Linked DNA regions of Diceros bicornis minor. The protein of the gene in region 3 purifies or fractionates together with the protein of the main gene of each other region. This does not show direct contact. Links are inferred from orthologs where the notes say so. Each region holds a gene or a part of one and is shown on either strand. Other genes may lie near its edges.

Region 1 (3,742 bases), on a different chromosome or scaffold from region 3:
GACTCACATGTTCCGAGGATATCTTCGCCAGAACCTCGGGGCTTGGTGTGCCCACCACCTCCATGATGCGCTTCAGCTGGTCAATGTCTGCCCGGCTCAGGAAATGACCACTGGCCAGGCACGGACCCTTCCCGGGCCCCAGAAGCCAGATCTTAGGGCACTGCCCAGATCCTGCTCTCCTACAGCTGGGGACAGTGAGCCCAACGTGGCACGCAGTGGGGCAGACGAGGCAAGACTGGCCAGAAAGGGCCAGAGCCCCCCTCCCTCGACCCTACCCCACAGAGGGGCCCCTGGTTCAACGTTCCTTCCCAACTTGGGCCAAGGATACAGTCGTTTCCTGGGAAGAGGGCCTTTCCCTGGAGCAGCTCGGCCATGATGCAGCCCACAGACCAGATGTCCACTGTTGAGGGAGGGTCTCCATCAGTCCCCAGTTCCTCCTCAGAGAGCTAGTGGGCTGCTTGGCCTGTGCCAGCCCAGTGGCCTCTCAGTCACACCCAGGCCCAAAGACAGCAGGCCCTTCCTCCTCCACACAGCCCTGGGCAGGCAGAGGGGTTAGCCCATGACCCAACATGCTCGGCCCCTCCAAAGGTCTGTTTTTGAATGCTGGTCCCAGACCTTTCCTGTCCCCCAAGACAGGACACACACCTCCAAAGTCCTTGGCTTTTGGCCTCACCCCCACTCGCCCTCCACAGGCCCTGGTGTGAGCTCTGCCTACCCACCCCGGTCCCACGTGGCTGCTCCCATGCGGGTTGACATCACCTGTCTGGTTGTAGTGCATCCAGTTGAGCATGATCTCAGGTGCGCGGTACCAGCGTGTGGCCACGTAGCCAGTCATCTCCTCGTCAGCCTGGCGCGCTAGTCCAAAGTCCAGGATCTAGAGCGGCCACCAGGGTTGTCAGCGCATGCCCCTCCCCGCATACCCCTCCCCACTGCCCAGTGCGCCCCACTGCTCACCCTAAGCTCGCAGTCCTCATTCACCGCCACGTTGCTGGGCTTCAGGTCCTGCAGGGCAGGCAGGGCGTGAGCGCAGGAGGAGTCCTGCAGCCAGGCCTGCAGGGAACCGGCCCCTCACCCCTCGGCCACACCTACCCGGTGGATGATCCCTGCCGAGTGGATGTACTGCGAGGGGGAAGGCGCAGCGTCAGGTTCCCGTGCTGCCGTGCCCCCGTGCCCCCCGCACCTCCCACGCCCCCCCCCCCCCAAGCCCACCTTCAGCCCGCGCAGCAGCTGGTAGACAAGGAACTGGACATGCTCGTCGCTCAGCGCCTGGCACTTGACAATGTTGTTCAGGTCGGCGCCCATCAGGGTGGTCACCAGGTACCTGGGTGGGTCAGGGATCAGGACTGGCCCGCCGACCCCTCCCTGAGCACACTCCCGGGCCACCCATCCTCTGGCCTCTCACACTTCGCTGAAGTCCTCGATGGAGGTGGCCGGCGTGAAGACGTCCAGTAGCCCGATGACCTGGGCGGGAAGGGAAGTCAGGACTCGGCCTTGCCCACAGCGGCCCTCAGGCTGTGCATCCCCCACGGGGAGCCCCCAGCTCACGTTCTCGTGCTTCAGGTGTTTGAGCAGCCGCAGCTCGCGGTAAGTCCTCCGCGCGTGGATCAGCGACTGGAAAGGCCGCGACAGCTTCTTCACCGCCACCTTCTGGCGCAGCCGCGCGTCGTAGGCCGAGCTGCAAGGCGGGCGAGTGAGGCGCCGGTGGAGGGGCCCAGCCGGTACGCGGCCCCAGGCCTGTCCGGGCTGAGGGCCGAGGGGCAAGGGTGGGGTCCACGCACAGACGCTCCCGGCAGCTGCTCCTCCACCCCTGCTCGTCCACTGCTCTCCTCCCTCTGCGCCTTTGCTCTAAGGGACTCCTTGGAGGGGGCTGGACCGCCGGCCACCAGCAGGTGCGCCTCTGCGGGGCCCCAGGGGCAAGAAGGTGACTGGCACGTGGGAGGCGCTCTGACGACAACACTCCCAAACAACACTCCCACGAAACCTCTTCTCACCGCCCCCTCGGGTCCTGCTCCTTCTCAAGAGGCAGCTCACCCTCCACTCCACCCCTTCACCCCCAGCATTCCCATATCTGCAGGGGCCCAGCCTGCCCCACCTGGGAGCCCCAGGGCAGGACCTGGATCTTCTCTTGTCTGCTCCTCCCAATGACTCTCGCCCCCAACTCAGCACAAGGCGGGGGTGGGGGAGTCTCTGCCAGCCAGCCTGGAAATAACACGTCTGGGAAACAGCCCCTGGCATGTCCCCAAGCAAACGGTCCTCCTCCTCCCCCATGGGCCTGTGGGTGCAGGAGACTCCCCGAGGGGTTCTAGAGCTGCCTCCAAAGCCCCTGAACCCCCAAAGCCTCTGAATATTCAAAATACGGAGGAAAAACTGGCCACAGGATTTACTGCATCGTTTCTAACAGTGAGAAACTGGCCAGCAGGGAATGTCCAGCAGTGAGTGGTATCTGGACCCACAGAACATCTCCCCTTGCCCAACCTCACTCCCCAGGGGCAGAGCCTCCACCTCTACACCAGCCTCCAACTTATCTACTCTTCACAGGAGCCCAACAGTCACTGGCATTATCTTCAAACACACATGGTCCAGCCACTCCCTACCCTCCCACCCTCCCATTGCCCTCAGGATGGGGGCCCTGCTGAAAGCAATGCCTTTGCACAGGCTGTTCCCCCTCACTGATGCTCATCCCTTCCCCGAAGAGTGAGTGGAGCCTCAGGCCCCTCCCCATGCCCACACCGCCCCCAGGAGCAGCTCCTGCAGGACAAGGGATGCTCACGGGCCCAGAGGGTGGTGGAGGAAAGCCAGCTCTGAGCCTGGGGCATCTGTGCCCCTTCCCCTAGCCTATGACCTGCTGGGGAAGGTCCAAGTCACTCCTTGGATTCCCCCTCCAAGGATCGTAGGGGGAATGGTAGGTGTCTCTGCTCAGCCCTAAGCCACAACCAGGCTGGGAAGTAGGGGAGTAGCCCCTCATATGGGGCAGCAGATCCTTTTGCCCAATTGCATCTGCCCAGTCCAGCGACAGGGAATTGGCACTGGGTTGCCAGCCTCATCTGAGGAGCGAGAGAGCCCAGCAGGGGTCATCACTAGCATAGGGGCCATGCTGAGGTAAGGGCACTAGAGACTCAGGCCACCTTTGGGGAGGGTGACACTCCCTGGGAACTCCCAGAAGGTTATCCTGGGCCGGAGGCAATTCCAGCAGGGGCTCTGTCAGATCCCCCGGAGGGCCACTCACACATTGTCTCTGACTCTCTTCCTGCCTTTGAGGTCTTAGAGATGAAGATGGAGGCCTGCCTGAGGTTCCTGATGGCTGGCAAGTGACAGTGTGACATCGGAGGCCCCTGGGACCCAAGCCCCTGCTCCAGGCTCCAGCACTGGGCCATGGGAGGGGATCCAGGAAATCCCACTCAACCTTCTGCCAGAGCCTGGACAACACTCCACCCCCAGCCCTCCCTGCCTCCCCACCCCCATGACCCCACAGAGGCCAGCCCCACTGGGTTCTGGGGGGAGCACCTCTCAACATCCACTCCCAGGATGAGCCTCACTGTCAACATTGCAGCTGCAACCGGGACTCCCGGTAACCACTGAGCCCAAGCGCCCTCCCCCAAACAGAGGCTGCCCCGAATCTGCCTCCCCCGCACCCCCCCCAGTCTGTCGTCTGTCTAGGCCCCAGGGCCTAACTCCCTGGCTGTGATCTGAGCTGTCTTGTTTGGGGCAAAAGTGGGGTGGGGTGGGGTGTAGACCCCCCTAA
Region 2 (3,742 bases), about 28 Mb from region 3:
CACCTAAAAAAGTGCCATGCATAGAATAATAGGCACGTGAATGAATAATTTTTAGGAATCCCTTATAACATGAAGTATCATTTACATATGATGTCACATATTCATGGGCTCACTGGATGACAGTGCAGGGTAGAGACTTAGAGATCTCACAAAGGGCCATCCTTATCATTTTTCAGAGGAACAGTTAAGGCCCAGAGAGAACAATGCTTTGCACCAGGTACACAGCAGGTCAGTGATCCAACCAGACTAGAATCCAGGTTGCCTGACCCCTAGTTTTGTGCTCTGTGCACAGGCTTACATTCCTCTCAATGACTCTGCAAACTACAATCATATGATGGTGGCCCATGCACATGTTTTGACTACTTTATGGTGTAGCTCACTAATAACAGGTATTTACATGAATATGTTTATTGATAATGCCTCTAGGTGTGCCACTATAAGTGACAAATAATATAGGTGTGGTTTTCAAATTATTTTGACAGTTACATGCCTACAGAAAGTAGGTCTTCTAAATCGTCCACAAGGAAAAACTACTAAGTGGGAGAGTTCCTTAAGAACCTTCACATATCTGATTTTGATTAGTTGGACTGGGAGAGCAAAACAAAGTAGGAGTGAGGATGACCAGATTGCTGCCTTCTATATACTCGTCCCTCTCTCCAGACCAGCGGGGAGAGGGCACCATCGATGTGGACACACTCCCTGAGCTCCCTGTTTTAGAGGAGTCCATATTGGAGAAGCTAAAATCTCTTCCTCCTCCTCTCCAAATATTCTAGAAAGCAGGACTTTCCAAACCTGGCCGCTTCTCAAATTCGCCTGGAGGAGCCTGTTAAAATGCATATTCCTGGACCTCCCCCACAGAGACTCTTCCCTGGTTATGGTGATTAGGCCTGGAATCTGTATTTTTCCTTAAGCGCATCAGGTGATTCTGATCTGCAACCAGGCTTGGAAAAGCCTCATCTCCCAGGCCACTTCAAGCCTGCCCCCTCCAACAGCTCAGCAGTCATCCACCCCTCATTTCCCCTCTGGTTGGCTTTTCCTGAAATCCCCACACCCAGCAGCCTCCATAGCCCTACCCCTTTTGTTTCTCAGGATCCTCCCACTTATCCCTCCCTCCATTTTTAATTTTTTTTTTTGCCTTCTAGTCCTTTCTCTCCTGCTATAGACTAAAATACGTATTACCTTCTCATCTTGTCACATTCCCATTGTCCGCTACATTCAGCCTTCATTCCTCCCTCAATAAGCTCCCTTCCCCTCATGGAACCTCCCCTGTTCACCTTCCAGCTTTTCCCCGTCTGGCACACACAGCACGCACACACACATACCAAACACATGCCACACACATACCTGACACATGCCACATTCCAAGCGCACGCGCGCGCACGCACACACACACACACGCCTGACAAGCCACATACACCGAATACGCACACATACATCCCTCACTCACCACCACGCAAAATGCTTCTACCTGCTGCTAATCCCAACTCTGCTTTCTTTCTCCCACACCCTCACATTCCACCATGGCTACTCTTGGCGTCATCGGCCTTCTCGTCTTCTCCAAGGCTGGCCCTGCCTCCTCCTGCCCTCCCTCGAGACACCTTCATTTCCTTTCTCCAGCCCGATACCACCTCCTCCTCCTTCCAGGAACCCCCAAACCCGATACCTTCGAAACTCCCATAATACTGTGCTCTGCTGTGCCCACCCCGCTTCCAGCCTAGCGATCTCACCCACCCACCCGCGGCTTAAGCGCTTCAGCCCTCTTCCACCACCCCCCATCCCGGCGCTGGCGGCGCGGGCCGGGAATCTGCGTTCCCCACTGGCCCGCAGCCCTTCTAGAGCGCCCTGTGCCCCTTGCCCACCCGGGGAGCCGCCCTGCCACGACCGCCTGGCTCGCCGCCTGCCCGCCCTCCCTGGCTCGCCGCCATTCTTCCCCTCGGGGGCGCCCCGATCCCCCCTCGCCTCTCCCAGATCCAGCCCCGCGCGGGCGCCCCCTCTTTTGTCTCGGCGCCCCGCTGGCCGGCCGCCTTACCGGGCCCGTAGAACTTGCGGCCTTTGGTCACGTCGAACACCTTGCCGTTGATGGCCATGAGTATGCGCGGGTCCTGGACGCCGTCGAAGCGCCGCAGCTCCGCAGGGGTGAAATCGCGCCGCTTAAGGCGGGGCAGAGGGGGCGGCTCGTCGTCGTCGCTGTCGCCACCGGCCGCTGGCTGGTCCCCGCGCACTATCTTGTAGAGCAGAAAGATGCAGAGGCCGAGCAGCAGCAGGTTGAGCGGCGATGTGAAAATCTCGTGCAGCAACCCGCCGCCCTCCAGCTCGCTCGGGTCGGCGCCTGTCGCCGCCACATCCTCGGCAGCCATGATCTCTGAAGCAAAGGTTGGGCCGCGCTCGGGAGGGCTCCGGAACTAACTGCTTTCTCCTCCCTCTCAGCGAGCTAGTGGCGCGCAGGGCTCGGCGGACAAGGGACTAGCCAGGGGCGGAGGCGGGGCCAGGCGGGACAGAGGCGGGGCCTAAGTGGGCGGGGCCTCCCAGCCCCGCCTCCTCTGAAGCCGCCCATGCGCCCGGCGGTGCTCAGTCCCGCCTCGCCCACCTCAGGCCCCCCAACTTGCTTCGGGATCGTGGCTCCCCTCCCCCCCCCCCCGGGTCCCGCCTCCGCCGCCGCCGCGAGAGCGGAGTCAGCTCCTCAGCTCTACCTGCGAGGCCCCCGCCCCCACCTCACGCCATGCTCACGCCATCCTTTGGCTAACAGCAACGCAGCGCGCGGCCTTCCTCCTCACCCGCGCTTGCTCCCCGCACACCGACCCGCTCCGAGAGCCTTGGCTTTGCCGGGCACTGTCTGAGGCCCCCTCCGCCACCTGATGCGCGCCAAACACCGACTCCATTTCTCTTCAGACTTCTCCCCCGCCTTCCATTCCGAAGCCTCCTCTTTTCCTGGCCATCCTTCGGGACCACGAGGCTGTCTTAGGAGACAGGAAACTCACTCCTCGAGCTCCTTTTTCCACCTTAGAGACCCAGACTACCCATTTTCACCTTGGAAACCCCCATTCGCTCTCCTTGACCACCCTTCTCTAATCCCCAGATACTGTGGGGCAGATACTCCCGGGATAGCTACAGTCAGTGCACAGGCCCCCGTCTGACAACCCTCCCCATATCTGGGGAAACAGATCGGATCGCCCGATTTACTTTGGGTTCATACTCGGAAAACTAAACCCTTTTGCAATCACTGATTTGCTCAGTCCCAAGGCATCAGCAAGCAACGTTCTGCTGTGCTTTTTTTTTTTTTTTTTTTGCCTCAGAATAATAACCAAAGTTTCTTTGGCAGCATTCTTCTATTTGAAGTCTATCGAGCTACCCTTGGCAGTCACAATAACCCTGTGCCAGAGCCCAGACGAAGGCAGGAGTTTGGAAGGATCCTAGATTTGCTCCTTTCCTCTCCTAGGTATTTCATCTGGGCTTTGATGTGCTGACCGAGGAACGGCTGTCTATACCCTTTAGAGTCCTAATCTGGCCGCCCTCTTTATTGTGGCAAGGGAGGGGAGCGGAAGCAAGGACAGAGAGAAGGAGAAAAAATAATTAAAACCAAGCCATGCACACATCTGCAGCCCAGAGCAGTACTTTTCCATCAAGAGTTCTGTTCGCTTGCGCATAATATACTCCCCCTCCCAACATGCAGGAGACTCGAGAGAATTGGCTTCTTACTTCAGAATTCTAAAAATTTCTGGCACAAACTGCTTCCATCCCTGCC
Region 3 (3,742 bases):
TCCTCTTCAGCCTGTCCAGATTCTGCTCCTTCTTCAGGCCCTCCCTAAACACCCTCCTCCGGGGTGGCCTTCTGTTTCCTGAGCCAGCATGTAGCCTTTCTCCTCTCTGCTCCAGACCTCAGTGCCCTCAGGCTGCAATGCCCAAGAGCTGCAGATTGGGAGGCTGGGGCTGGAGCAGGGCCCACTTCTCCCTGTCTCGCTGCTCCAGGGCAAGGACTCTTGTCTTCTGTCATCTCCTTTCCCACACATCCTAGTTCCCAGAGGCAGAGGTGGGCTGCCACCTGGCCATGAGTCCCAAGCCTGGGGGCTCCCTCCAGGCCCGCTGCAGCTGTGGGCGGGACCCTGGGGTGGGCAGGGGTTGAAGGCACCAAGGGACTCTGCAATGTGCCAGCCTGGCCGCCTTGTGGGTAGTGGGGGTGGCAACGCCAGACAGGGAGATGGAGAGATACATGCCCCTACCTTCCTTGTCATGGGGCTCAGTGTGGTTGGAGAAAGAAAAGGTCGCCAACCCCGAGGGAGGTAGGAGCTCCTGAGGTTCGGAGGCATGCTTTCTGGAACGGGCTCCCTGGAGGAGGTGATGGGAGCCAGGCTGGGAAGATGGGGATGGGGAGGGAGGCAACTTCTGCACTGGTGAAGGGAGAGGAAGCTAGGCTCCAAGAACCCCCTCAGGGTGGGATTGTGCAGGCACCTGCGTCTCCCAACGCCTGAAGAGTGGCTCCCTTGCACCTTGCTCCAGACCCCTGCTGGCAAGCCTCTCCCAGCGGGAGAAAGCGCTCAGGAGGGGAGTGCTCAATGCATTGGGCGGCAGCAGCGCCCGCTGCGCCAGCAGCAGGACAAACTGGAACCTGTTGCCACCTCCGCACTGCAGAGCTGAGCGTAGCCAAGCCCCCCCTCTCTCGACCCTCGACCCTCGCCGGGGCGCCAGGTACTCAGGCCCCCTGCAGCGTCTGCTCTGGGCCCCGCCCCGCCCCACGCTGCTCCCAGGGCAGGCTGGGCAGGGGGAGGCAGCGCTGTGTGCCAGGGCCTCGCCAGACCCACTCGCAGGGTGGGCGCTGTGCCCGCCGCCCCAGCCCCCTATGGGCGCCTCCAGCCTCCGCCGGCCCGGTCAATGCTCCTTGTAGGCCTCGGGGACGCCTGCTGCCCGTAGGCCCCACGCATGCCGCGTGCGCCCTCTGGTCCCCGGAGCCTCCAGAGAGCGGCACCCCACCTTCCCCTCCATCCCCTCACCCCGGAATGCACGGTTCCCGCCAGGCTGATTGGCAGGATTTCGGCTGTCGCGGCCCGGTCACATGGCCAGGAACACAACTGCCAGCCACAGCGTTCCTGCCAATCCAGTGCCTTTTCCACCAAATCCACTTTCTGTTGGCGATGGCTTTCTGCTTTTCCTGGTCAGTCTCCTCGCGGAACTGGGAGTTCCTCCAAGGCAGGAGCTGGGGTATGCCCGGCCCCAAGCTGGTCCTAGCCCCCAGTGCTGGGCCCAGCACACGCCCCAGCGCTCACGGAAGAAATGCTCGTTAACAAAGAAGGCAAGAATGAATGAAACCAATTGTTGCATGAGGGAACCCAGGAGGGTGCTGCTCTTGCTCTTTTTCTCAGCGGGCCACACACTAGCCCCCTCAGACACGCACAAGCACACGTGCACACACAGCCTTCCCCCCAGCACAGTCCCAGACAGGCACACACACTGCACCCAGACTCCTGCCCTCATGGAATCCACGACCTACTATGCGCTGGCTGGGCAACTGGCACCCCTTTGATCCCAGCTGGGCCGCCTGCATCTCAATGCTTGCTTCTCCCTTCCTCCTCCCCGCCCCCCTCCCCACGCCCTGACATCTAAGTAGGGTACCTTGAGCCCCAAGTGCCTTCTTTATCTCTTAGGGAAGAGGGCAAGCCAGTCACTGAAGAGACTCAAGGTCTGTTTAGGGAGGCACCTCGGGGGCCTCAGGAGGGCCAGCGGCTGCCCAAAGCAAGCCAGAGGTGCCTGAGAGCCACCAAATGCTGCAGCATCTATACCCGGCGGGCCAGGTGTTGAGGGTGGTGGTGGAAGGGAGTCAGGGCTGTGCAGAGGGGTGTTGAGGGCTATTTGCAATGGGGGCGGGGCAGGGTGCTAGAAGTGTGAATCCAGCAGGTGTGCAGACATGTTGGGGTGTATGCCTGGGGAGTGGGCCTGGCTATGGAGAGTGGGAAGTGTCGGCCGCTGGGGTGTGGGTTAGAATTGGGGCTTTGCTGGGGGGTGGGTGGATTTCGTGTCTCTGGGCTGGGAACGTGGGTGGGGTGTCTGTAATGAGCATATGGGGAGTTGGAGACGGTGGGGGCACGGTGAGGGAGCTATGTTAGTGCAGATATCGCAGGGATGTGTCGGGAGTGTGTGCGTGTGCCTGAGTGTGTACTGGGGCGTGGCAGGGTCTGGGATGGGTTCCCGCCTGAGTTGGGGACAGCGGTGGGTGGTGGGTTAGGGGCTGCTGGTGTGTGCACTGCACTGCAGGGACCCGGGTCCACGGTGCATGATTTGTGCGCGCGCATGTAAGTGGCAGGGGGTGTGCATGGCGCAGGACACGGGAGGTGCACGGGTGGGATGCGGGGGTGTGTGGTGGCAGGACCGAGTGGGCCTCGCAAGGGCGTGTGCGTAGGTCTCGCTGAGGCGTGTGCGTCGGCCCTGTGGGGTGCGCGTCGGCAAGACTTTGGGGGTACAGGGTGGAGGAGTGCACGTCGGTGGCGCTGCCAGGCCGAATGGGGGTGGGGGGGGTGGGGGGTTGGGGGGGGTGCCTGGGCGCCGCGTGCTCCGCTCACCTCCGGTCCGCTCGGCTTCCTGCGCCAGCTCCGCGCGTCGCGGTCGGGAAGTTTCCGAATCCCGGGCGGCGGGAAGCGCCACAGCCGCTGCCGCGGAGCGCCGCCGGAGCCTCGGGCGGCGGCCTCGCCTGAAGCCGAGCGGCCGCCGCCGCCGCTGCGGAGGGAAACTCCAAATCCCGCCTCCGCCGCCGCCTCCTCCCCTCCCGTCGCCGTCTTCTCCGCCCCCTGCCCAGGAGGGGCAATGTCGCTGGCGGCGTGCAGGGAGGGAGCGGGGAGGGGCCGCTGCCTGCCCGGCGTCTCCTTCCACCTCCCCCGGCCCCGCTTGCCTTCCTCCCACCTGCAAGCGTCCGCCCGCTCCGCCCGCCGTGGTTCCTCTCTGGGATGCGCCCTGCAGCCCCCATCCCCCCAAAGCCCTGCTGCGTGGGGTCCCCGAGCTTGGGGCTCAGGAGCGGGGCGAGGGGCGCTGACCTAGGCTGGACCTGGACTGGGGGAGGGTCGCAGCAAAGAGTCTGCTTCCAGCAAGAGAAGCGAAGGGGCCCATCGAGGACCGGGCACAGCTTGGCCCCCAGGGCCATCTCCTGCTGCCATAGGGGAGAGGGTATAAGGTCCAGCTGACAGCACTGCAAGTGACCTCCCCAAGCCCCAGGTCCCCCTGCACTGTCTTCTCCCATTCTCATGTATCAGATTCTGGTATTTGAGCCTCAGTGCCTGGAAGGGGTGGAGCCAGGGCGGCGGGGGAGGGGCTGGGAGGGGTGTTCTCGGCAGGGCCATTTTGCTTTCCTCTGCACCAAAGGCCGCAAGCATCCCCATCAGGCACATCATTTTCTCCTTACACCAGTCTGAGAGTCAGAGGAGACTGTTCCCATGCTATAGCTAGGGAAACTGAGGCAACAGTTTCCTGGTGGTCACGCAATAATGTAGTGGCAGAGCCTTACTGGGCTCAGGCTGGCTG

Evidence for each region.
Region 1: the proteins of DUSP9 (region 3) and MAPK11 purify together in Homo sapiens (affinity purification with mass spectrometry; 4 studies listed by BioGRID and IntAct, with this or other methods). This does not show direct contact. The link is inferred for Diceros bicornis minor from reciprocal best matches to the Homo sapiens genes DUSP9 and MAPK11.
Region 2: the proteins of DUSP9 (region 3) and PGRMC1 purify together in Homo sapiens (affinity purification with mass spectrometry; 3 studies listed by BioGRID). This does not show direct contact. The link is inferred for Diceros bicornis minor from reciprocal best matches to the Homo sapiens genes DUSP9 and PGRMC1.

Annotation. Positions count from the first base shown.
Region 1 is NC_080764.1:541,880-545,621, reverse strand, and holds the start of MAPK11 (mitogen-activated protein kinase 11), read right to left. Parts: upstream 2,568-3,742; 5' UTR 2,269-2,567; coding exon 2,093-2,268; intron 1,676-2,092; coding exon 1,546-1,675; intron 1,462-1,545; coding exon 1,403-1,461; intron 1,322-1,402; coding exon 1,210-1,321; intron 1,120-1,209; coding exon 1,090-1,119; intron 1,003-1,089; coding exon 955-1,002; intron 875-954; coding exon 760-874; intron 401-759; coding exon 329-400; intron 88-328; coding exon 8-87; intron 1-7. UniProt on the Homo sapiens protein: Serine/threonine kinase which acts as an essential component of the MAP kinase signal transduction pathway.
Region 2 is NC_080781.1:109,852,046-109,855,787, reverse strand, and holds the start of PGRMC1 (membrane-associated progesterone receptor component 1), read right to left. Parts: upstream 2,432-3,742; 5' UTR 2,358-2,431; coding exon 2,030-2,357; intron 1-2,029. UniProt on the Homo sapiens protein: Component of a progesterone-binding protein complex. Binds progesterone. Has many reported cellular functions (heme homeostasis, interaction with CYPs). Required for the maintenance of uterine histoarchitecture and normal female reproductive lifespan.
Region 3 is NC_080781.1:137,717,930-137,721,671, reverse strand, and holds the start of DUSP9 (dual specificity protein phosphatase 9), read right to left. Parts: upstream 2,904-3,742; 5' UTR 2,791-2,903; intron 1-2,790. UniProt on the Homo sapiens protein: Inactivates MAP kinases. Has a specificity for the ERK family.